2 linked regions of the Sus scrofa genome follow. The protein of the gene in region 1 interacts with the protein of each later gene in a pairwise test. Links are inferred from orthologs where the notes say so. Each region holds a gene or a part of one and is shown in the gene's direction. Other genes may lie near its edges. The genes, in order: PLAA and UBXN1.

Evidence for each region.
Region 2: the proteins of PLAA (region 1) and UBXN1 interact in binary tests that used the Homo sapiens proteins (3 or more experiments, as listed by UniProt). The two-hybrid records come from large-scale screens. The link is inferred for Sus scrofa from reciprocal best matches to the Homo sapiens genes PLAA and UBXN1.

The regions. Positions count from the first base shown.
Region 1 is NC_010443.5:196,190,118-196,201,842, forward strand, and holds part of PLAA (phospholipase A-2-activating protein), read left to right. Parts: intron 1-3,436; coding exon 3,437-3,537; intron 3,538-3,624; coding exon 3,625-3,745; intron 3,746-6,441; coding exon 6,442-6,609; intron 6,610-7,009; coding exon 7,010-7,145; intron 7,146-9,882; coding exon 9,883-10,052; intron 10,053-11,725. UniProt on the Homo sapiens protein: Plays a role in protein ubiquitination, sorting and degradation through its association with VCP. Involved in ubiquitin-mediated membrane proteins trafficking to late endosomes in an ESCRT-dependent manner, and hence plays a role in synaptic vesicle recycling.
Region 2 is NC_010444.4:9,068,449-9,080,712, forward strand, and holds UBXN1 (UBX domain-containing protein 1), read left to right. Parts: upstream 1-4,477; 5' UTR 4,478-4,589; intron 4,590-4,687; 5' UTR 4,688-4,716; coding exon 4,717-4,775; intron 4,776-4,914; coding exon 4,915-4,968; intron 4,969-5,058; coding exon 5,059-5,165; intron 5,166-5,251; coding exon 5,252-5,321; intron 5,322-5,548; coding exon 5,549-5,740; intron 5,741-5,832; coding exon 5,833-5,884; intron 5,885-6,002; coding exon 6,003-6,119; exon of another isoform or gene 6,120-6,644; coding exon 6,645-6,837; intron 6,838-7,008; coding exon 7,009-7,058; 3' UTR 7,059-7,147; downstream 7,148-12,264. Other genes in the region: ubiquinol-cytochrome-c reductase complex assembly factor 3, read right to left, coding at 9,696-9,848, 9,928-10,047.

The DNA.
Region 1 (11,725 bases):
AGGACGTGGGTTCGATCACTGGCCTCGCTCAGTGGGTTAAGGATCCATTGTTACCTTGAGCAGTGGTATAGAGCGCAGATCCAGCTTTGCTGTGGCGTAGGCCGGCAGCTGCAGCCCTGATTCAACCCCTAGCCTGGGTGCAGCCCTAAAAAGACAAAAAGAAAAATAATAATAATAATAATAATTTTAAAATCCATTTGAAAGTTTTGGCACTACGCACGATGGATAGTCATGTTTTTGACATGTTCCTGTTATATGGCTGGGTTTCAATTGTTTTTTAGTGCTGAAAGGACTTCTGGAGTTTATATTTTTCATTACATCTTGAGAAGTAGTTGACTCTTAAGCCCTGCAGTTGACTCTTAAGCCCTGCAGATCCCTAAGTTTGGATCTTCTTTTCTGAACCTGCCAGTTCTTGATCTCATCCCGTTCTTTTAATGCCCAGCCAGATGTGGCCAATAGTAGGTGACGCCTATTACTGAAGTCCCATTTTCCAGCCTCTTTAGGCTATGGGTTTATCATGTCCTGAGTTATGGCTGATAACAACTTTACCAAATGTTCCTTACCAAGGATCCCTGGTCTTCTGTTCTATGATGCCATTCTCTTCCTTGCCTGCTTTTTAAGCCATTATCATGCATTTTAGATTTTTGCTTCAACAGTGCCTTGCTTTTGCTACTAATTTCTGAATCAGTCAGGTAGTTTAGGTGACATTTTGGCAACAGAAAATTCCAGAATCACAGTGGCTTAAAGCAGTAAGTTTACTTTGCATCTTACAGGCCCAGTGCAGCAAGGGGCTCTATTCCTTGTAATCAGTCTGGGATTTGAATGACAGAAGCTTGGTTGCAGCATGTGCTTTCACAGATACTGGAGCAGTGGGGAGGGAGCATGACTTAATTGTATACCTGTCCTTAAAGCTTCCACCTGGAAGTAACATTATTTATGCTCATTTTTCAGTGCCAGGAGAAGTCATGTAGCATGCCTAAAGCCAAAGGAACTTGGGAAGTTCACTCTTACCATTTGGTTAGAAGATGAAGAGCAGAAAATATTTGATGAATATCACTAAAGGCTGCCATATACATTAAAATATTTATATCTCCCATGTGTTTTCTGGAAACTTCTCTCTTGTAACCTTCTAGCCTCCTGTTGGATGGGTACTCCCTGGGCTAATGTCAATCCTGGTTTCCCTATTTTCTAGATACCATATTTTTTTCATTCTTAACTCTTTCATATTAGTTTAATACAACAGTTGCAGCTTCTGAGAAAGCTGTGACGTAGGGGTTAAGTATATTTTATATTTACATATTAGAAAATGGCCTTATTCTAGGCTTTTATTTGACTTAATTTAGTTAGCTGTAGAATACTGTATAAAAACCATTTAACCTCAGAATTTTGAAGACATTGCTCTGTTGTCTTTTAGGGTAAGGTGTTATTTACAAGTTTGATGCTGTTTTGATTTTCCATCTTTCCCGTGGGGCACTTTTCTGGTCCCCTCCCAAACTTTTGGAATCTTCTGTTTCTAATGTTATAAAATTTCATGATGCATCTCTGTCTCTGTTTCTCAAAGTACCTTTCACTGGGCACTTTTGTGGGTTCATTTGGTCTAGATAATCATTACCTTCCCTTTTGGGAATCTTTCTCATACTGTTTCTGTGTTCTCTACCCCATCTTTCCCCTCCTCCTCCCTATTTTTCTCTTTCTGGCATCCCCGTAGTTAGATGTTGAACATTCTGAAATTGTTTTCTAACTTTCTTAACTATCCTTTCCTCTTTTTAAGTTTGATTCTTCTGTTTTTAGCATTTGTTATTCTTGTTGTCTCATGAGTCCTTTTTTATATAGTATCTGTTTGGAAATAACATTGAATTTTTTTTTTTTCCTGCTTCCTGAAATCAGATTTATTTCTTATGGATCCCTCTAAACCCTCCCCCCTTATTTTTCTGTTTCTTTGTTTTGGTTTTTCTCTTTCATGTAGGTAGAGGTTGATGATTGGTAGGCTTCATTAGAGGATGATCTGATAGTCTGACTTGTATACGGAAAAACCTCTCGAATGTCTGCATCTGGAGTTCTTTAGCATTATTCAATACTCTAGAAAAGAATTCTCTCACCTTTTACTTAGATGGATGGAGTATATGTCTAGCTGCTGGTATTTTGGTAGCAGAGGGCTGTAGGTACTGCATTACAGGATGGAGACTTATGCCCCTTGTGTTTCTTGGGGATTCTTATTCCAGTCCTTTATTATGTCTGGTAGCCTTAGTCTAGAAACTCTGCTTCAGTTCCTTTGGGGAATAAACTTCCAGTTTTCTTTTTGCAGGGAGTGAGGATATACTCTCCTGACGCTCTAGGCTAAGAAAAGAGATCTAGTGTTTCACCGTGTTATGGTGTCATGTGCGAACTTTGAATCACTATTCTCATTTTTTACATCCTCTGCTTATCCCCATTCTCCGTGGAATCTAGTGGCTGAATATCAGGTCTCATAGTTTTGTGGGACCAGTTATTCTCTTCTAATCTTTTTCTGTGGTTGTTTAAATTGAAACCTCTTCCATTTTGCTAAGTCAGTGATGTTGTTTTCTGTTTTCTTTGTCCTTATAGATTTATACCACTTATAGCATTACTGTGGACAATCTGCCATTTTTAATCAGAACTCTCTCTTTTTTTCCATATTTTTAGATAATTTTTCATACTAAAATTTTTTTTTTTTTTTTTTTTTTTTTTTGTCTTTTTGCCATTTCTTGGGCCGCTCCTGCGGCATGTGGAGGTTCCCAGGCTAGGAGTCCAATCGGAGCTGTAGCCACTGGCCTACACCAGAGCCACAGCAATGCGGGACCCAAGCCACGTTTGCGACCTACACCACAGCTCACAGCAACACCTGATCTTTATTTAACCCACTGAGCAAGGCCAAGGATCGAACCCGCAACCTCATGGTTCCTAGTCGGATTCGTTAACCACTGCACCACGACGGGAACTCCCTAAAAATTTTTAGCTGTAAGTTTTATATCAAGATAATAAAACTTTTAGTTAACCATTCCATTGCTGTTGAACATTTAGCTTGGCTGTGTTTTTTTTGTCATTTTAACTAAAGTGATCCTAAATAGCTACATAGCGCTTTAAAATCATTTGCATTATCTTTCTGTGTAGTTTCTTAGAACTGGACGGGATTGTGCAGCCCATTTAATCCTGCTCCTTCATTTTACAGATGAGAAATCTGATGTTAAGGAATAAATATCCCTGTGGTCAGACAGCTCATAAGTGGACATAGCTAGGCGGTCTGGCACCAGAGTCTGTGCCCTTGATTATTGAACTCTTCTGCATTTCCATTGAGTTAAGTTTTTCTTGGCTAATATAGTCACTTCAAAAATCATTTTTAAAATTGTGGCGTTTCAGTAACTACCAAGGTTGAATATTTTTCTATATGAAAATGTGTTAATGCCTTTTTTCTCTTTAGTTTGTAGTCTTTCATCTGGAAAATTTGGGACATTACTTAGTGGCTCATGGGACACTACTGCTAAAGTCTGGCTGAATGACAAATGTATGATGACCTTACAGGTACCGTAGTTCTGTGTGAATATTCTAGAAAATAATTAAATACAGTGATTCTCTGGCATCTTAATGTAATAGCCATTTTCCTCACAGGGTCATACAGCTGCAGTATGGGCAGTAAAAATCTTACCTGAACAGGGCTTAATGTTAACTGGATCAGCAGACAAGACTATTAAACTATGGAAAGCCGGAAGATGTGAGAGGACCTTTTCTGGTAAGATCAGAGTAGACAGCTTTTATAATTTCTCCATTTCACATTTGCTCAGATGATTTTTTTTCCCAAAAGTTTAGCAGTTTTAAGGTGTTGTATGAAAAAATCAGTGTATTTGAGCCATTTTTAAAAAGTTTTATTGAAATCTATTTGATTTACAAGGTGGTGATAATTTCTGCTGTACAACAAAGGATTCAGTCATACGTATACACATATACATTCTTTCAGATTCTTTTCCCACATAGATTATCACAGACTATTGGATAGAGTTCTCTGTGCTATATATAATGCATATCCCTGTTGGCCAGTCATTCCACATACCTCAGTCCCAAACCCCCAGTCTGTCCCTCTCTACCTCCCACCTGTCCTCTTCGGTAACCATAAGTTTTTCAAACTCTGTCAGTCTGTTTCTATTCTTCAAATAAGTTCATTTGTATCGACTTTTTTTTAAGATTCTGTGTATAATATTTGAGCCATTTAATTTGGGTGGATGTATATTTTCTGACAGTATTTAATATCTTTTTAAAAGAGGTAATGAGACCCATCATAAAACAACCAAATATGGACTAATCATTACCTATTTGATAAACTATAGTATGTGTATGTGCTTCTATGTATTTTATGTATGTAATTTTTGTACTCAGTTATATTTTGGTTGTCATTTGAACAAGTTCAGCCTAAAACTTGCAGTCATAAGTCTTAAGAGTGGGTCAGAAGTGTTATCTTCATATATGGAGGAAAACATCCATGCTTTTATTAATACTGAAATACATTGTTTAATAATAACACATTTTAGGCTTTAGGTTGTGGTTTCTGATGGGTAGTCTCTTAATGACTCAGATATTAAATAACTTCTACACTGAGGTATCTGTTGTCTAATATTGGTATTGGTAATTTGTATAGCACTTCCACTTTTGGTGTGATTTTTTTTTTGTTGTTTATTTTTTCTCACTTTTGCTTACTCCTTAAAAGCTGATCAACACCCTGGACAATACTGCAAAAAGTCCCTTTGTGCAGATAAAACTATCTGTAGATGGGAGTTACTGTTGTAGCTCAGGGGGTTAAGAACCCAACTAGTATCCATGACGATGCAGGTTTGATCCCTGGCCTTGCTCAGTGGGTTAAGGATCTGACATTTTCATGAGCTGCGACATAGGTTGCAGAAGCAGCTCGGATCCATTGTTGCTGTGGTAGGGGCCTCTGCAGCTCCCATTCAGCCCCTGGCCTGGGAACTTGCATATGCTGCAGGTGTGGCTCTAAAAAAGAGAGCCACCTGTAGATGGAAAATGTGCAATGAGTTATAAGTAAATATCTCTCTTATGTCTGCTTTCAACCATAAAATATGTGTGTCAAGTTGTTTAGTTTGTTGTTTTTTTTGTTTTGTTTTGTTTTTTGTCTTTTTAGGGCTGCACCTGCGACATACAGAGGTTCCCAGGCTAGATGTCTAATCAGAGCTACAGCTGCCGGCCTACACCACAGCCATAGCAACGCAGGATCTAAGCCTCATCTGTGACCTACACCACAGCTCATGGCAACACCGGATCCTTAACCCACTGAACAAGGCCAGGGATCAAAGCCACATCCTCATGGATACCAGTTGGGTTCATTAACCACTGAGCCACGATGGGAACTCCTGTGTCAAGCTTTTATTAATCTGTTATAGTTAATCTCAATCAGGAAGTACTGAGCATGGGAAGGTTTTAACTTATGATCTCCTTTATTAGATCATAAGCTTCTGAGAATGTTTTATCATTTAAAAAAAACTATCGCCATACAGTGCCTCAATTAATATTGGAAAAAATTGAATTTTCTGGAGTTTTAAAAAAATTTATTGATGAGGAATATATGTATATATATATATTTATATATATTAAACAACTAACATAATGCAAAAAGTTTTTAATTTTAAAAATTCTTGCCTTTTAAAAGAAGCAATAGTCATTAGTTTTAATTTTACCATTTTTTCATTTATTATTTTAATGCCTGTATTTATATGAATTTTGAAATATTCACCTTCACAAAGCAGCAATGTTTGGCTTTATGTTTACATTTTGGTTAAAGCAAAAGGATAGGAGAAGTTATTTGACTCTGAAGAGGTAAAGAAGAGGCAGGCAACTTGAATTCTTGTTTTAGCTCTATTTTTGTGGTTTTACATAAATTTATGTCTTTTAGCCTATTCTTTCATATCTTAATAAAGTTTACTTCTCTATGATGAAGATTTTCAGACTCCTATACAATTGAAATATTTTTTCTAATCTTAATTTTTCTTTTGTTATTGCTTTATGAATATTAATCTCAGTATTGTACGGTAAGACTGATGATGAAAATGTTGCCAAAGCTGTCTCTTTAGCACCAGGATAGGTTTGATCCCCAGCCCGGCACAGTAGGTTAAAGGATCTGATCTTGCCGTAGCTGTGGCATAAGTCACAAACATGGCTCCAATCTGATCCCTGGCCTGGGAATTCCATGTGCCGCAGGGTGGCCAAAAATTAAAAAAAAAAAAAATTGCCAAAGCTAAAATACAAATTTTGGCTACTAAGCTTTTCTATGGGAAAAAATAATGAATATCTCTAACTTGAAAATCACTTTTTAATATCACTGGTTTGTTTTATAATGTTAGCAAGATACATAGAGCCAACAACCAAATGATCCATTTTTACTGATTTATGTTATTCTTTTTCTTTTTTTAATATATATAGGGCATGAAGACTGTGTAAGAGGCTTGGCAATTTTGAGTGAAACAGAATTTCTCTCCTGTGCAAATGATGCTAGTATTAGAAAGTGGCAGATCACTGGCGAGTGTCTTGAAGTATTTTATGGTCATACAAATTATATTTATAGCATATCTGTCTTTCCAAATTGTAAAGGTGAGATTATCTGATACTGCATATTTAAAATTTTGTATTGAGCATTGTTTCAATGAAACTTTATTTCATATAAAGTATCTTTCTTTTTTACTAAAAGAGAAAACTATGATCATCTTATATTAATTCAGGTTTGGTGGTTTTGTAAAAGGTTCTTGGGTATCTGAGGAAAGAGTTTGTATAATTTATTGGTGTAAAGTATAGTGTGTAAATGTGAAATATATAAAAATGTGATTTTTGAAGTTGTATATGGCATAAGTGACAATGATGTAAAATTTTATATTGTAATCTTTTAATATTTTGGGGTTTAAAAAATCAGCATGCCTATTTAGTAAGATAGTGTATAAAAATGTGCTTAATTTCATTTATTCAAACTAATTTTTCCTGTATTCTTAAATTTTAGATTTTGTGACAACAGGAGAAGACAGATCACTGAGAATCTGGAAGCATGGGGAATGTGCTCAAACAATCCGACTTCCAGCTCAGTCTATATGGTGTTGCTGTGTGCTAAACAATGGTGACATTGTGGTTGGTGCGAGGTATTTATTTATATTCTAGTCAGTTAATCAATAATATATGTCTAGGCTGTTGGTAGGTGTTAAGAGTGCACAGAGATGATGGAGTTCCCTTCGTGGCACAGTGATTAACGAATCTAACTAGGAACCATGAGGTTGCGGGTTCAATCCCTGGCCTTGCTCGGTGGGCTAAGGATCCGGTGTTGCTGTGAGCTGTGGTGTAGGTTGTAGACGCGGCTCTGATCCTGCGTTGCTGTGGGTCTGGCGTAGGCCAGTGGCTACAGCTCCAGGGGCTACAACTCCGATTAGACCCCTAACCTGGGAACCTCCATATGCTGCAGGAGTGGCCCTAGAAAAGGCAAAAAGACAAAAAAAAAAAAAAAAAAAGAGTGCACAGAGATGAGAGTTTGGGAATTTCAGGTGAATTGAGAAGACCACAAGCACATTTCTATTACCAAACAAAATAATAGAAGGTATACAGCTTTCACACTAATGATATATAATATATTACAATAGTATTGAACTACAGGTTGTGCAGTTGAAACACTGAATGCAAAAGAAATTAGGGAAGATAGGGATTGGTGTGGGAAAACTTTCCAGAGAAGAAGAAATTTGAACTGGGTTTTGAAAGTTAACAACTCAATACAGCAATAAGCATTTTTGTCAAAAGGACAGGTACAGGCACAAGTAAAATGGTGGCACGGGACCAAGAGTGATGTGAATGGGAGACAAAGGAAAATGGTAGAGGACCAATGCTGAGGAACAATGGATACTAGTGGTAAGGTGGGGCTTAATTATGTGGAATCTGGAATGCCAGGCATTTTTTAGATTTAATGTTTGGGATTATAGGGTTGAAGCTCTTAAGCAGGAAATGATATGATTAAAGCAGAACTTGTGAATTATTAAGTATGTAGGTTAGATTTAACTAGTGGTGACAGTGGAAAGGAAAGCAAATTAGTAAGCTACTTTAGTAATAAGGTGTAAAGTTGGGAAATACTGGCCCTGAAGTACTAATGGATAGGAGACCAAAAAATGAGCTAATGCGGAGGGAAAGTGGTCAGAAAGGGGATGAAAGAAGGATAACTTCAAACTTTGGTAATTAGAAGTCCACATTAATAAAAATGGAGAAGTGGGAGAATTGGTTTGATGCAGAAGATAATGACTTCCTGGAGTCCCTGTGGTGTTAAGCTACACTGACTTCCTGGGCCAGTGGGTCATGGGCAGTTGGACCAGAGGCTAGTGTAACAACTGAGACTGAAGACTGGCACAAAACTCCCAGAGTCTAGCGACAAGACATTTTTCTCTGAGGAAAGAAACATGGGGGCAAGGAACAGAAAACTGAAGACTGAACTTGTGATACAATGTGCATAGAGAAAGAGAAACCAGTAGGCAAACAGAAAAAGTAATCCAGATGTTGAAATTCAGAGATGGCAAAAGATTTTGGAGGGAGATTGTGATTAGTGTCAGAAAATGCATGAGGGGTTAAGGAATTTTCATTAGGAAAGCTTTTGGATTTGCTTTGAAAGATGTTATTAGTGACTTTTTTGACATCTCATTTTCATAGAAAATGATAGAAAAAGGTAAATGAGAGGAGACAGATAAAGAAGAAACAGGTAAAGGAAAGGATTATAGACTACTTTGACATCGAGGCAAGAGGAAAAAGAGGGCAACAGACATAAGGGATACAGAGTCTAAAGAAGAGAATGTCTTTTACTTCTGGGCTGAGCTGGGGGTCAGTTAGTTGATTTAGTTATTTTCGCCCTAAGTTTGTTTAAAGAAGAATAAATGAATTGAAAGGGTAAAACAGCTATTAATGGAAAGTTAAGTAAGAAAGATTTCTGTAGAGTTGAGTAGAATTAGTACAGTTGAAAGGGACTAATTTGCCTCCCCTAACCTGAAATTTAGAAAAAAGAAATTATGGAAATCATAGAAGTCATTTTTCTGAGAAGAGAGGTTGGAAAGTGAAGCTTACTTTTTTTTTTTTTTTTCCTTGATTGGGGTTACATTGCTAGTTAATGGCATAGTAAAGATAGGCCTATTTTTCTAATGAATGGATTTTGAGCATCTACAATTTTCTAAGCCTATGTTGGGTATTTGAGCCCTTTATAATTTTTTTTTTTTTTTTTTTTTTTGCTTTTTATGGCCACACCTGCAGCATATGAAAGTTACCAGGCCTAGGGGTCGAATCAGAGCTTCAGCTCCTGGCCTGTGCCACAGCCACAGCCACACCAGATCCAAGCCATGTCTGTGACCTACACCACAGTTTATGGCAAAGCCGGATCCTTAACCCACTGAGCGAGGGCAGGGATCAGACCTACATCTTCATGGATGCTATTCGGGTTTGTTACTGCTAAGCCACAACAGAAACTCCCCTTTATAAATTAGATAGTTCACTACCCTTCTTTATACAATAATACTTAGGTAATAATGACTTTAAAAGTATATGCTAAACCTGTAGGTCTTAATTTGGAATTGAAAACTATGTTAAATATATGTGTGTGTTATATATATATGTATATGTATAGATATAGAATGTATATATTCTTTACCAGAGACCTTTTCCTTAGTCTTTTTCCACTATTTTAGAAAGTAACAGAGCATAGTATGTGCTGAAATCAGCATAGTTCTATACTCAGCAATAAATGCATAGTAACATTTCTCATATTCACAAATACAGATTATTTTTGCCCTGGATCATTCAAGTGTGATGATGTTAATACACTGTGGCAATAACTTAAAATCAGTTTGTGTTTCCTTACAGTGATGGTATTATTAGAGTGTTTACTGAATCAGAGGATCGGACAGCAAATGCTGAGGAAATCAAGGCTTTTGAAAGAGAACTCTCTCAAGCAACCATTGATTCCAAAACTGGTGACTTAGGGGACATTAATGCTGAACAGCTTCCTGGAAGGGAACATCTGAATGAACCGGGTAAATATTTCAGTGTATCTAGAAGTAAAAAATGCTACCATGCTTACCTTTTGGAATAATTAGAGTGATGGGGGGGAAAAAGCTTGCTTCGTTAAGTCATTTAGCATTATTCTCATGTGTGTGTGTGTGTGTGTGTGTGTGTGTGTGTGTGTGTGTGTGTGTGTGTGTGTGTGTGTGTGTCTTTTCTAGGGCCACGCCTGTGGCATATGGAGGTTCCAGGCTAGGGGTCTAATCAGAGTTATAGCTGTCGGCCTACACCAGAGCCACAGCAACATGGGATCCAAGCTGAATCTGCAATCTACACCACACCTCACGGCAACACCGGATCCTTAACCCACTGAGCAAGGCCAGGGATCGAACCCACAACCTCATCGTTCCTAGTTGGATTGATTAACCAATGAGCCATGACAGGAACTCTGAGAATTTTTATTATTACCCATAATCACAGTGAGAAAGCAAGTTCTTCTTGCCTCTGTCTCACAATTTTAAAGACTTTGAGCTGTTTCCCATGAACAAGGATCTTTTTTTTTTTAAATAAATCTCTTAATAATTTAGCTCATATATAGTAAGTATTCAAAAGTCACTCATTTAATACCTTTTGGTTGATTGGATTCTCTGAGAGAGACTGTATAGATTAAAAATGAGTTTAAATACTGCAGTGCCTGCTTAATGAGTTGGGGATCTTTGAGTTTAAAATCATAGGATTTTGTCTCAAAAGAAATCTTGTGTTGGTTATATCTGTGATTCCCTATGTTACTGGTCCATTTACCCCTGGGGATTCTGAGATCCTTTCAGGATATCCATATGGTCAAAACTGTGACACTAAGGTGGTATTTGACTTTTATACTATGTTAATGTTTACATTTATGGTATAAAAGCAGTGGTGGGTAAAACTGCTGGCTCCTTAGTACACAGATCAAATCAGTGACATCAGACTGTTCAGGTAGTCATTGTGTTCTTCACTGGCACGTGGTTGTTGTTTAAAAAATAAAAAAAAAAGACATCTGCCCTTAAGAATGTCCTTGATGGGCATTCCCCTTGTGGCTCAGGTGTTAACAAAGCTGACAAGGTTCTGTGAGGATGCTGGTTCCATCTCTGGCCTCGCTCAGTGGGTTAAGGATCTGGTGTTGCTGTGAGCTGTGGTGTAGGTTGCAGACACAGCTGGAAACCCACTTTGTTGTGGCTGTGGTGTAGGCCTGTGGCTACGGCTCCAGTTCAACCCCTAGCCTGGGAACTTCCATCTGCCACAGCTTCAGCCTCAAAAAAAAAAAAAAAGGAATGTCCATGATGAAGCATTAAAATTTAATTTTAGTACAGTTTGTCCCTTTGATACCTGTCTTTTTTAATACTCTGGATCTCAAAGTGTAAAGTATACCAAAGTACCATGGTATACTTATTTCAGGGACAAGTATTTCTGCAGTCATTTGAGAAGACTGAAGACTGAACTAGAACTATCACTAGTTTCATGGAACGCCATTTTTATTTCAAAGAATGACTGTGATTATTCAGGCTTAGCTGTTTGGCAGACATTTTTTGGAAAATGAACAAAGTAAACATGTCACTTTAAGGAAAACAAGTGATGGTATTTGTAGCCAAAGATAAAATTCAAACTTCCAAGTGAAAATCAAAATTTTAGAAAACTTGTGATATCAATGGTAATATTAACAAATGAA
Region 2 (12,264 bases), on another chromosome or scaffold:
TACAGCTCTGATTCGACCTCTAGCCTGGGAACCTCCCTATGCCGCGAGTGCGGCCCTAGACAAGATAAAAAAAAGACAAAAAAAAAAACACTTATACAAATTGAAATAATAGTAAAGAGGATAAAATGAAATTCCCTTCCTCTTCAAGAGGTAAGTACCTATATCAGAACAAATTTTTCTCTATGTAATGCCAGTATTTTCTGCTTTCATTCAATACATTATGGACAATGTTCCATGTTGGTAAACAACAACCTCCTTAATTATGTTAAAAGCTGCGTAATTTCCCCGAGGAGGATGCTTCTAAACTGGCAGTAGCCATTCCTCTTTGTTGGAACACTGTAGTTGTCTTCAGCGTTTGCTGTGGACATCCTTATTTGTGTTTGTTTGTTTGTTTGTTTGTTTGTTTTGTCTTTTTGCTATTTCTTTGGGCCGCTCCTGCGGCATATGGAGGTTCCCAGGCTAGGGGTCCAATCCGAACTGTAGCCACTGGCCTACGCCAGAGCTACAGCAACACAGGATCCGAGCCGCGTCTGCAACCTACACCACAGCTCACGGCCACGCCGGATCCTTAACCCACTGAGCAAGGCCAGGGACCGAACCCGCAACCTCATGGTTCCTAGTCGGATTCGTTAACCACTGCGCCATGACGGGAACTCCCTATTTTTTCTTTTTTTCCAGCATACGGAGCCCCAGATCAGGCATCAGATCCCAGCTGCCATTTCAACCTACAAGGCAGCTGTTGGGAACACCGGATCCTTAATCCCCTATGCCTGGCCGAGTGTTGAATCTGTGTCCTGGTGCTCCTGAGGCACCTACTATCCCTTTGAGCCACAGAAAAAACTCCTGAGTTTATTTTTAAATTAACCGGATGTAGAAAAGTCTTTAAGTTGCTCCTTATTGCTCACTTTTACTGCTCTTATAACTTTTTTTTTAATTATAAAAGTAACACTTATACAGGAGTTTTCATTATGGCTCAGTGGTTAACGAATCTGACTAGGAACCATGAGGTTGCCGGTTCGATCCCTGGCCTTGCTCAGTGGGTTAAGGATCCGGCGTGGCCGTGAGCTGTGGTATAGGTTGCAGACGCAGCTCGGATCTGGTGTTTCTGTGGCTCTGGCGTAGGCTGGGGGCTACAGCTCTGATTCGACCTCTAGCCTGGGAACCTCCCTATGCCGCGAGTGCGGCCCTAGACAAGACAAAAAAAAGACAAAAAAAAAAAACACTTATACAAATTGAAATAATAGTAAAGAGGATAAAATGAAATTCCCTTCCTCTTCAAGAGGTAAGTACCTATATCAGAACAAATTTTTCTCTATGTAATGCCAGTATTTTCTGCTTTCATTCAATACATTATGGACAATGTTCCATGTTGGTAAACAACAACCTCCTTAATTATGTTAAAAGCTGCGTAATTTCCCCGAGGAGGATGCTTCTAAACTGGCAGTAGCCATTCCTCTTTGTTGGAACACTGTAGTTGTCTTCAGCGTTTGCTGTGGACATCCTTATTTGTGTTTGTTTGTTTGTTTGTTTGTTTGTTTTGTCTTTTTGCTATTTCTTTGGGCCGCTCCTGCGGCATATGGAGGTTCCCAGGCTAGGGGTCCAATCCGAACTGTAGCCACTGGCCTACGCCAGAGCTACAGCAACACAGGATCCGAGCCGCGTCTGCAACCTACACCACAGCTCAAGGCAACGCTGGATCCTCAACCCACTGAGCAAGGGCAGGGACCGAACCCGCAACCTCATGGTTCCTAGTCGGATTCGTTAACCACTGCACCACGACGGGAACTCCCTTATTTGTGTATTTCTATAGGGTACCCATCTGAAATGAGGTGAGAGAGGCAGTACTATACTATTTAATCATTATTTTATTATTGGCCCTCTGGAATAAACTTAGAATACATTTGTTACCTAGAACACTCATCACATGGCAGTGAATACTTAGTGACTTTTAAATTTAATTCCTAGAGTTCTTTGGTGGCTCAGTGGGTTAAGGATCTGGCGTTGCCAGAGTTCCTGTCCTGGCTCAGTGGGTAATAAGTCTGACTAGCATCCATGAATACGCAGGTTGGATCCCTAGCCTTGCTCAGTGGGTTAGGGATCCTGCGTTGCTGTGGCTGTGGTGTAGGCCAGCAGCTATTTGAACCCCAGCCTGGGAATCTCCATGTGCCATGGGTTCAGCCCTAAAAAGTGTGCGTGTGGGCACGCGTGCGTGCACGCGCACGCACACACACACACACACACAGGATCTGGCATTGTCACTGCTGTGGCACAGGTCGGATTCCTGGCCCTGGAACTTCTGCATGATGTTAAGGGTGCAGCCCCCAAAAGAAAAAAAAAAATTTTTTTGGTGGGGGGGAGTTCCCGTCGTGGCTCAGCGGGAATCCGACTGGGAACCATGAGGTTTTGGGTTCGATCCCTGGCCTTGCTCAGTGGGTTAAGGACCCGGCGTTGCTGTGAGCTGTGGTGTAGGTTGCAGACTCGGCTCAGATCTGGCGTTGCTGTGGCTCTCGCAGCTCTGATTAGACCCCTAGCCTGGGAACCTCCATATGCCGCAGAAGCGGCCCTAGAAAAGGCAAAAAAGACAGAAAAAGGAAAAAAAAAATTGTTTTAATTGACCCTGTATTTCCTCAGCATTTATTCATTTACAAATAATGAGGGCCTACTATCTCATTATTTAAAGATATGTTTTACATGCGTTCTCACTTGATCTCTATCACAAATCATTCCAAAAGATGGTTTCACATTTTCACAGATGAGACGTTTAAGGTTCTAACGGATTTGAAACCATAAGTAAGGCGCTGAGTTGGGATTTCAGCCCAAACTGCCCAACTCCAAAGCTGATGCTCTTTGCTCCACCACAGTGAGGCAGCATAGCATAGCAGTCTCATGAATGCACACTCAGTAGGTCTGAATCCTCGTGCTACTCCTTACTAGCTCTGTGACCTTCAGTAAATGATCTTTCTGTGCCTATTTCCTGTGATCGATAATAGTTTCTATAGCACATGGACTGTTGTGATGACTAAATATACATCAACTATAACAATCTCTGGTGCATATATTATTGATACCAGTAACTTATTATTACTCTGCCTCCTAATAAATATTTAAAGTTACCTTTAACTTAAGGGACCTAACAGCATAGGGGGCGATGGAGGGCTAAGCAGTCAACAAGACTACATAGCAGGGGGCTAAATGTTAATGGAATAAATACTGGAGCTAGGAGGTGGAGAGGGGGTGGTCAAAGCAGGATTCCCTCAGAAAGCAAACCCAGAGTCCAGTCCAAAAGGTGACTGGGGGTTATTTCCTGCCACAGAAGAGGCAGGAAAACCCAGACAGAAGAACTGGTATGTGCAAAAGCCAGGAAGAACTAGAAGGCCTGTTTTGCAATCTGCACTAGGTAACCTCAAGTGATGGGGGATGAACTCAATACTAACTACCAACATTTACACAGTACAGTTTTGTCTGGTGCCTAAGGTTCGTGCTATGGTTATCCTCGCTTTACAAATGGGACATTAACAAACAAACAAACAAACAAACAAAAAATCGGGTAGGAGGTTGCCAGACTACTGGCATTTAAGTTTCCTCCTGGGAGACTGGGGTGTCACAGAGAAGTCTTTTTCTGAGCCGAACTCATGGCATGGCATATAGAGGTTCCCAGGATAGAGGTCAAATAGGAGCTGTAGCTGCCGGTCACAGCCACAGCCACAGCCACGCCAGATCCAAGTCACAACCTACACCACAGCTCACAGCAATGCCAGACCCTAAACCCACCAACGGAACGGCATCTTCATGGATACCAGTCAGGTTCGTTTCCCCGGCTCCACAACAGGAACTTCTCACGGAGAAGTGGGTTTTTTTTGTTTTGTTTTTTGTTTTTGTCTTTTTGCCATTTCTTGGGCCGCTCCTGGGCATATGGAGGTTCCCAGGCTAGGGGTCCAGTCAGAGCTGTAGCCACCACAACCTTGGGATCCGAGCTGCGGCTGCGACCCATACCACAGCTCAGAGCAATGCCGGATCCTTAACCCACTGAGCAAGGCCAGGGATCGAACCTGCAACCTCATGGTTCCTAGTCGGATTCCTTAACCACTGCGCCATGATGGGAACGCCTCATGGAGAAGTCTTAATCAGGGAGGTGATGACAGGATCTAATCAGATATTGTGTTTTGCAAAGATCGCTTTGGCAGTGGGGGCGGAGGATGGCTCAACTCCCCCCAGAGGATGAGCAGGTCAAAGAGCGCATGCATTTCTATGGACATTGCTCTATAACTTTCCAAACGGTTTCGCTAAGGGGTCGTATCGGGAACTGGCTTCATGGGCCCATGGGTTTCAGGGGGGCATCATCCTTCCTCTCCACCACCGCCAAGGCGCCTCGGCTGAGGATGTGGAGCGGTGGCGTCCCCTCCCGTCCGCGACTCCCACGCGCCGCCGGTCGGGGTCCGCTCTGGGCGGGGGCGGCCGGGCCGGGCCCGCGTGGTCTGGCTCTCTGCGGCACCCGTCCACGGCCGCCTCCACGTGACCCAAACAGATTCGGGCACTTCCGCTTCCCCCGGGCTTTCTTCTCGTCAGTGTCCGCGGCCGGGCCGCTGCCGGTGAGTAAGCGAGCCCCGGGCTGGGGCTTTGGAGGCGGGATTGCGCGCCGGCGGGGGGCGCACCACGCCGACCCCCTCCACCCTCCTCGTCCCTCCAGGTCCCCGCGGAAGCGGCGGTGGCGGCGTCATGGCGGAGCTGACGGCTCTGGAGAGTCTCATCGAGATGGGCTTCCCCAGGGGACGCGCGTAAGGGAGCCCCCTAACGCGGGACCGCGGGGGTCGCGGACCTGCCCAGGCCTTTGCCCCAGCCTGGCCTCAGGCTCTCCGCCCCAGCCTGATGAGCGCCATGGCTGGTGGGCGCTATTCACGGTGTTTCTGCCCCCAGGGAGAAGGCTCTGGCCCTCACAGGGAACCAGGGCATCGAGGCTGCGATGGACTGGTGAGAGCTGAGACCGGGTGCAAGGGGCCTGGGGGCGGCTGGGAGGGGCAGTCTCAACGTTATGACCTTCCTCCTGACTTTCCCCGCCAGGTTGATGGAGCACGAAGACGACCCCGATGTGGACGAGCCACTAGCGACCCCCCTTGGACATGTCCTGGGACGGGAACCCACCCCTTCGGAGCAAAGTAGCCCCGAAGGTCCTGACTGAGGGACACAGCGTGATTATTCAGGAGGGCCCGAGAAGGAGGCTGAACGAGTAATAACACTGATTGTTTCTTTGCAGGACCTGGGTCTGCTGCCGGAGAAGGCAAACCCCCGTTGAGTGAAGAGGAAAGACAGGAACAGACTAAGAGGTGTGAGAAACAAGCCCACATTCCTGAGGGTCACCTCCCACTTCTCCCCAGTACACAAGTCTGATCAAAGAACCTCGAACTTTCCGCCTTCCCTCTGTCTTTCTTGGCTTTTTCCTCTTTGAGTCTTCCATCTGTTTTGGGACCGTGTTCGCAGATTTTGTTTTCCTGAGACTGCCGTCATAAACTCCCAGTTTACATTCATTTCTCTTGAACTTGCTGCGCCACAGGATGTTGGAGCTGCTGGCCCAGAAGCAGCGGGAACGTGAAGAGAGAGAGGAGCGGGAGGCCCTGGAACGCGAACGGCAGCGCAGGAGACAAGGGCAGGAGTTGTCAGCTGCCCGACAGCGGCTCCAGGAGGATGAGATGCGCCGGGCTGCTGAGGAGCGGCGGAGGGAAAAGGCTGAAGAGTTAGCGGCCAGGTCTGGGTGCTGGGACTGTTGGCTGAGATGAGGAAGGAATCAGGATTTGTTCTGTCCGTGTCTGACCTGCTTTGTTCCTGTCTGCGTTCCAGACAAAGAGTCCGAGAAAAGATCGAAAGGGACAAAGCAGAGAGAGCCAAGAAGGTAGGTGATTGGGAAGAGCCTGAGGATGATGAAGTAGGTGGGTCAGGAAGCTTTTCTGGCTTCAGAGGAGGAAAGGGTGGCCTTGGTGCCTGATTGTTTTATCTCCTTTGTCCTCCAGTATGGGGGTAGTGTGGGTTCTCAGCCACCCCCACCTACGACAGAGCCAGGTCCTGTTCCCGCCTCTCCCAGCCAGGAGCCTCCCACGAAGCGGGAGTATGACCAGTGTCGCATCCAGGTACTGATTCTGATTCCTGTCATGCTCCTGGGACCCCTTCGTTGGTTTCTAAGGGACCCAACTCAGCCCGGAGCTTTTTTCAGTTATGTTCCCCTTTGCCAAACCTCTCCCTTTTTTGTAAATGACTTTTGCAATCCTATCTCCTCTGCTCTTAGGAACGGTATCAAATTTCACTCGCCCCAGTCTTATTTAAATCCATACCCGTCTCTTATTCAGCAGTTTACCTTTTTATTTGTTCATAATGTTTTCATTTGGTTTATTATACAGCTGTTTGCATGCTGTGGGATCTGTCCAGGTATATGGTATAATCTTGTCCTTGTTTTCCATAAACTGTGAATAAGTCGGGAGTCTCTCTCCAGCATTCAGTAAAGCCGAACCTCAGTGGTTGGTCATTTAGATGCTTTAAATAGTAATTTTGCTGGTTCAGTCTCAGAGAGGAAGAGAAGCCATCATTGCTCTTCTTCTCCTTACCTGGGCCCCCTACTCAGCTTTGACGCTCACAGTACCATCTCTCCTGCTCTCTAGGTCAGGCTGCCAGATGGGACTTCCCTGACCCAGACGTTCCGGGCACGGGAACAGCTGGCGGCCGTCAGGCTCTATGTGGAGCTCCACCGTGGGGAGGAGCTAGGAGGGGGCCAGGACCCTGTGCAGTTGCTCAGTGGCTTCCCCCGGCGGGCCTTCTCAGAAGCTGACATGGAGCGGCCTCTGCAGGAGCTGGGTATGACACGTGGCACCAGAAACCAGGATTTGGGGGATAGGAGGCATCCATGAGGAGGGAAGGGGAGGTGCAAAGAGAAGGGACCTTGTGGAGATGGTGCGAGGCCAGGAACTTGGGGGAGGCAAGAAGCAGGTATTGCTGTGGTTCACACCTGTTTTCTTCCATCTTCAGGACTTGTGCCTTCTGCTGTCCTCATTGTGGCCAAGAAATGTCCCAGCTGAGAGGCCTTTTCCCACCATCCCTCTCTGACTTTTCCATCTTTGATAAAGCACTGACATCTTCCTAATAAATAGACCCTCTGAGTTCTGTATGTGCCTGACTCCTTCCTGAATGGCTAGGAAGGAAGGAAGACATTTAGAATAGACCCTATTCCTCATTTTATGTTTCCAAGGGAAACTGGTTTCTAATCTCTAGGTCTGAGAGGTTGCGCAGAGGTTGAGGGGGAGGTGGAGTATGGGGAGTCCACTGGGGAGCACCTTTTGCTGCTGTGGGTAAGGCAGGGCCGAAGCCTGAAATCCTTACTAGCGACGCGCCTTCTATAATTAAGCCTAGTTTCTTCTTTAGTAAAGCAGAGATGATAGTATCTGTTAATTGGAGTTGTAGAGGGTTAAATAATACTGACACAAGGTGCTTTAGTACAGTGCTTGGCACCTAATAAGTCTCCAATAAGTATTAGCTACCGAAAGGGGTAATTTAAAAAAATAGGGCCTTGGAGTTCCCGTCCTGGCACAGTGGTTAATGAATCTGACTAGGAGCCATGAGGTTTCGGGTTCGATCCCTGGCCTTGCTCAGTGGGTTAAGGATCCGGCGTCGCTGTGAGCTGTGGTGTAGGTCACAGACGCGGCTCGGATCCCGTGTGGCTATGGCCCTGGTGTAGGCAGGCGGCTACAGCTCTGATTAGACCCCTAGCCTGGGAACCTCCATGTGCCACAGGAAGTGGCCCTAGAAAAAGCAAAAAGACAAAAAAAAAAAAAAAAAAAAAAAATAGGGCCTTTCACAAACAGGTGTATTAGTATGCTTTTCACAACTGCATCTCTGAGTTGCTGTTGTGGCTCAGCAGTTATGAACCCAACTGGTATCCGTAGGGCTGTGGGTTCAATCCCTGGCCTCACTCAGTGGGTTAAGGATCTGGCATTCCTATGAGTTGTGTCAGCCAACAACTGCAGCTACAATTTGACCCCAAGCCTGGGAATTTCCATATGGTGCAGCCCTAAAAAGCAGAACACAAACGAACAACAAACCAAAAAGGGAGTTCCTGTTGTGGTGCATTATCCCATTTTATTTTATTTTACTTTTTGGCCACGTTCAGGGTATGTGGAAGTTTCCAGGCCAGGGATCAAACCTGAACCACAGCAGTTACCCCTGGGCCACTGCAGTGACAATGCCAGATCCCCAACCCACGGTGCCACAAGAGAACTCCAATGGTCCCGTTTTACAGATTGGGACACCAACGTGTAGGCTTGCCCGAAGCGGCACAGGTAGCAAGTAGTAGAACCTAGACAGACACCCACCTGGGAGCCCGACTAGGCCTCGGGCTCTAAACTGCCAAGTTCCTTCAACACAGCCCCTCTTGCTGCTTCCCATCACCTGATCCTAGTGTTCCCTCACATGGCTGCTGACCTCTTTTCTCTCATCCCCTGGGCTGGGAAAGAGGCCACAAGTGAGGATCACACTTGACAAATACATCCACTTATGACTTCACCATCAGGTAACTTAAAACTGCACCAATGCCCACATCTGGCTTTACACCTCAGTGTCACCAAGCTTTATTTAGTGTTCTAGCTTTATTTAATAAAAGCGAGGGTGCTGCCCCCCCCCCCCAACATCACCCCACCACCACCACCAATCTTGTTTGGAACCACAGGACATAAGGTAGACAAAAGGGAAGTGAACTGGTTGGTCTGGCTATGGGGCTGTCACCCCACTGACAGCTTTTATCTCATCCCTTCAGTGGCATCGCCAATAGATCCTATGACCCAATTCAGAGTTTGACGACCACTGCAGTGAAAACCTGGAGGGAGGACAACCCCATTGCATTTAGGGAGAGGCTGCCCTCTGCCAGGCACTGCACTTCACATTCCTAAATTCACCTTCTTTACAACCACCTGCAAGATATGGCACCTTTTATGGCACAGGACTGAGGCTCAGGTTTTAGGACACGCAGGAGTTGAAACGAGATCGGATTCCAAGCACCCTCCTCTTACTAGTCCTACCACGGGGTGGGGGTGGGGGTGGGGCCTCCAAGGGTTAAAGACCACAGACGGCAGCATGGGACAAGTTAATTACTAAAAGCCCCTCCCCTCACCAACCTCATTCAAAGGAAAGTAGCCCAAGGTGTCCTCTACGGGCATTTACTGCACACGAGTTTCCAGGATACCTATGATTTCAAGAATGTCACTTGGTTATCCCCAAAGAACACTCCACACAGACCACATGACCTGAGTGGTTTTTTGAAAACGTGGTTGCTCTGCCTATTGGGCTTCAGCTTCACATGGGGGGCGGGGCAGGCGGAAGTTGCAGTCTTTCGGGCTCGCAGCACCGACCCCCAAAACACTCTAGACTTTTACCGGCGTCCAAACTGCAGAGTCACTCTCTGGATGAAGGAACATGATTTATTGGTTCCTTCAGTTAAGCCGCATCCGACGCCCCGGCCCGTAACGTAGACGTTAAAACACAGTCAGTACAGGGTTTGGGGGGCGGGGGGTAACGTGCTCACCCAGCAGCAGCTCCCCAGGACCCGGAGAGGCCTGCGCGTGGCATCTGGGTCTGGACTCCTTGCCGGCCCACAAAGGAGAAAGGCTGCCTTGGACTCCTGCGTGGGAGCGGAGGTCACGGCGCCCACGGGAGCAGGTCCGGGCTCAGGCTGACCTCCCGCCGCCGCCGCCGCTCATCCAGTTCTTCCTCCAAGCCACGTTCTCTTGTGTGGCCGCTGCCTCCTGCAGAGTGGCCAGCAGTAGCTGTTTGGTCCTGGCTGCCTCGTCCCTGCGCTGCGGGTCCTGCTCCGGTATCTCCTGCCGGGAGGAAGGGAGGGTTGCGGTCCGGGCCCCCAGCCCTGCGGTGCTCTCTGCCCGCCTACCCACCTGCTCCCACCTTTAGTATCGCCTGCTTCTGCTGCTCTCCCGGGGTCACGAGGACAAACAGCGCAGAGCCCACGCCAGCCCCCACGCCCCGCACTGCGCCCACGATCAGCGCTTTGCGCAAGGGCTCCATGACCGACAGCGCGATCCGCGAGGCGCCCTCCGGAGCCGCCCGGAGCCCAGCAAGGCGGCTGCGACGTCTCACCGTCCCCGGCGCAGGCTAGAGCGCCCCTCGGCAGGGGACCATAGAGACGAAGCTGGGCTAGAGAAGGCCCGGCCGCGGAAACATTTCAAATCCACAACGCCTGCGAGGGAAGACTGGATTGAGCTGAGGAGGCCGAGCCGGTCGGGAGGGGTTGACACCCAAGACCGAGCGTGGGGGCTTAGTGTCGTGAAATCCCGAGTGGGATTGCGAAGGGGAGGATGTGTGTCTTCGTGGTTACTGTGGGTTTTACAGTTGCCCAGCTCCGCAATGTCTTTGATAGAGGGCTGTGCTCTGCAGTTTCCTACAACAACTCATGCTTTTACAATACAGTACATAATGGACATCCAAATACTTATAAACGTCAATCCCTTCAACTCTTGAGCAAAAATTCAAAGCTTAGTGTACCATGTGGCGGAAAGCATATTTTTTTATTTATATATTTCGTTTTATTTTTCTTGTTCAACACAAACATTACTTTTCTCTTCCCTTAGCATGTTTTTTGTTTGTTTTGTTTTGTTTTGAATCATGAAAACTGGATTTTGCGTAACATCCCAAATGCGAGTTTGGAGAAGAAAACACTTCTTAGTTGTGGGCAAGTCATTGAAGTTCTTTGTGCCTTGGTTTCTACATCAGAAAATGAGGCTAATAACAATATAAACTTAGGATAATTAGGTTCATATGTAAAGCATTTAAAACAGTTTCTGGAGTTCCCGTTGTGGCGCAGTGGTTAAGGAATCCGACTAGGAACCATGAGGTTGCAGGTTCGATCCCTGGCCTTGCTCAGTGGGTTGCTGTGAGCTGTGGTGTAGGTTGCAGACGCGGCTCGGATGTAGGCTGGTGGCTACAGCTCTGATTGGACCCCTAGCCTGGGACCCTCCATATGCCGCGAGAGCAGCCCACGAAATGGCAAAAAGACAAAAATAAAATAGCTTCTGGCAAATAGCAAACACCATATAAACATTTATTAAATAAGATACAAAGAAACATGTCAATTTGGGAGATCCAGTAAATGGAAGAATCAGGAAATTCCAAGTCTATTAACCACGCTCTTCACTTCCAGGGCTTTAATCCAGATGCCGTCCCCGCCTTTCCCAGTGTCATCAGCTAGCGAGTAGAAATAAATCTCCGATTCTACCTCTTGGGATTGTCCCCTCCCCTGGAGGTCCCATAATCTCCTAGCCATGTCAGCCTCCTCTCCTCAGAAGTGATTAAGGGGCCAGGCTCCAAAGCAGATTAAAGGGAGTCTGTGGGGTGCATTGAGCAGGGGTTCTCTTCTCTGAGTTCAACCATCATAAGTATCAGTACCCATGGCTTTTGTGCCAGAGAATGAGGATGAGCCTTGGCCTGGAGATAGCCCAGGCCCCACCCAGCATCCAGAAAGTCCTAGGCTGCCCAGCACTCGCTGGGAGGGGAGAGGAGAAATTGGCAGAGTTGAAGGTCAGCCGGCTGTTCGGGTTAGTACTTCCTCACCCTCGGATCTCTTGCTGGCTCATCCTCCAGTTTGGGCCAAGCCCCCTGCTGTGTCTGTCCAGGTTGTCTCTCTAAAGACCTGCTTCCCCTCCATCGTGATGGAAGCCTCTGAGGTGAGCAAAGAGAGTGGGGAGCTCTGGTGGCCACACAATGATGTGTGATGATGAGGAAGAGGAGGCTTAGGTCTTCCAGGACAGATGTGAAGAGCCCGGTGAGGGAGGTGGCTGGTTCTTAAGGGGGCTGTTGTGGAGTTCCTATCGTGGCTTGGCAATAACGAACCTGAATAGGACTCTGGTTTGATCCCTGGTCTTGCTCGGTGGGTTAAGGATCCAGCATTGCCCTGAGCTGTAGTTGCACATGTGGCTCGGATCCTGGGCCTTGCATTCAGCAGCACAGAGTAGGCGCTCAGCAAACATTAGTGAAGAAAAATGTAGAGGTGAGAGATAAGAGTCAAGGTGTTTGGCAAAGTTGACCTGTTTAAAGGTCAGTTGTGGTATCAAACAAGTGACAACTTTTAATACGTATTTTTAATATTTTAAAATCTTTTTGTCAAGGGTTAAGATAATAAAATCACCCAAATCAACTACTCAGAGTTAACATTTTATATCTTCTTTTTCTCATGTCTATATACTGTTAAGCTGCTTGGGGGGGAGGGACACAGAATTACTATGTGTC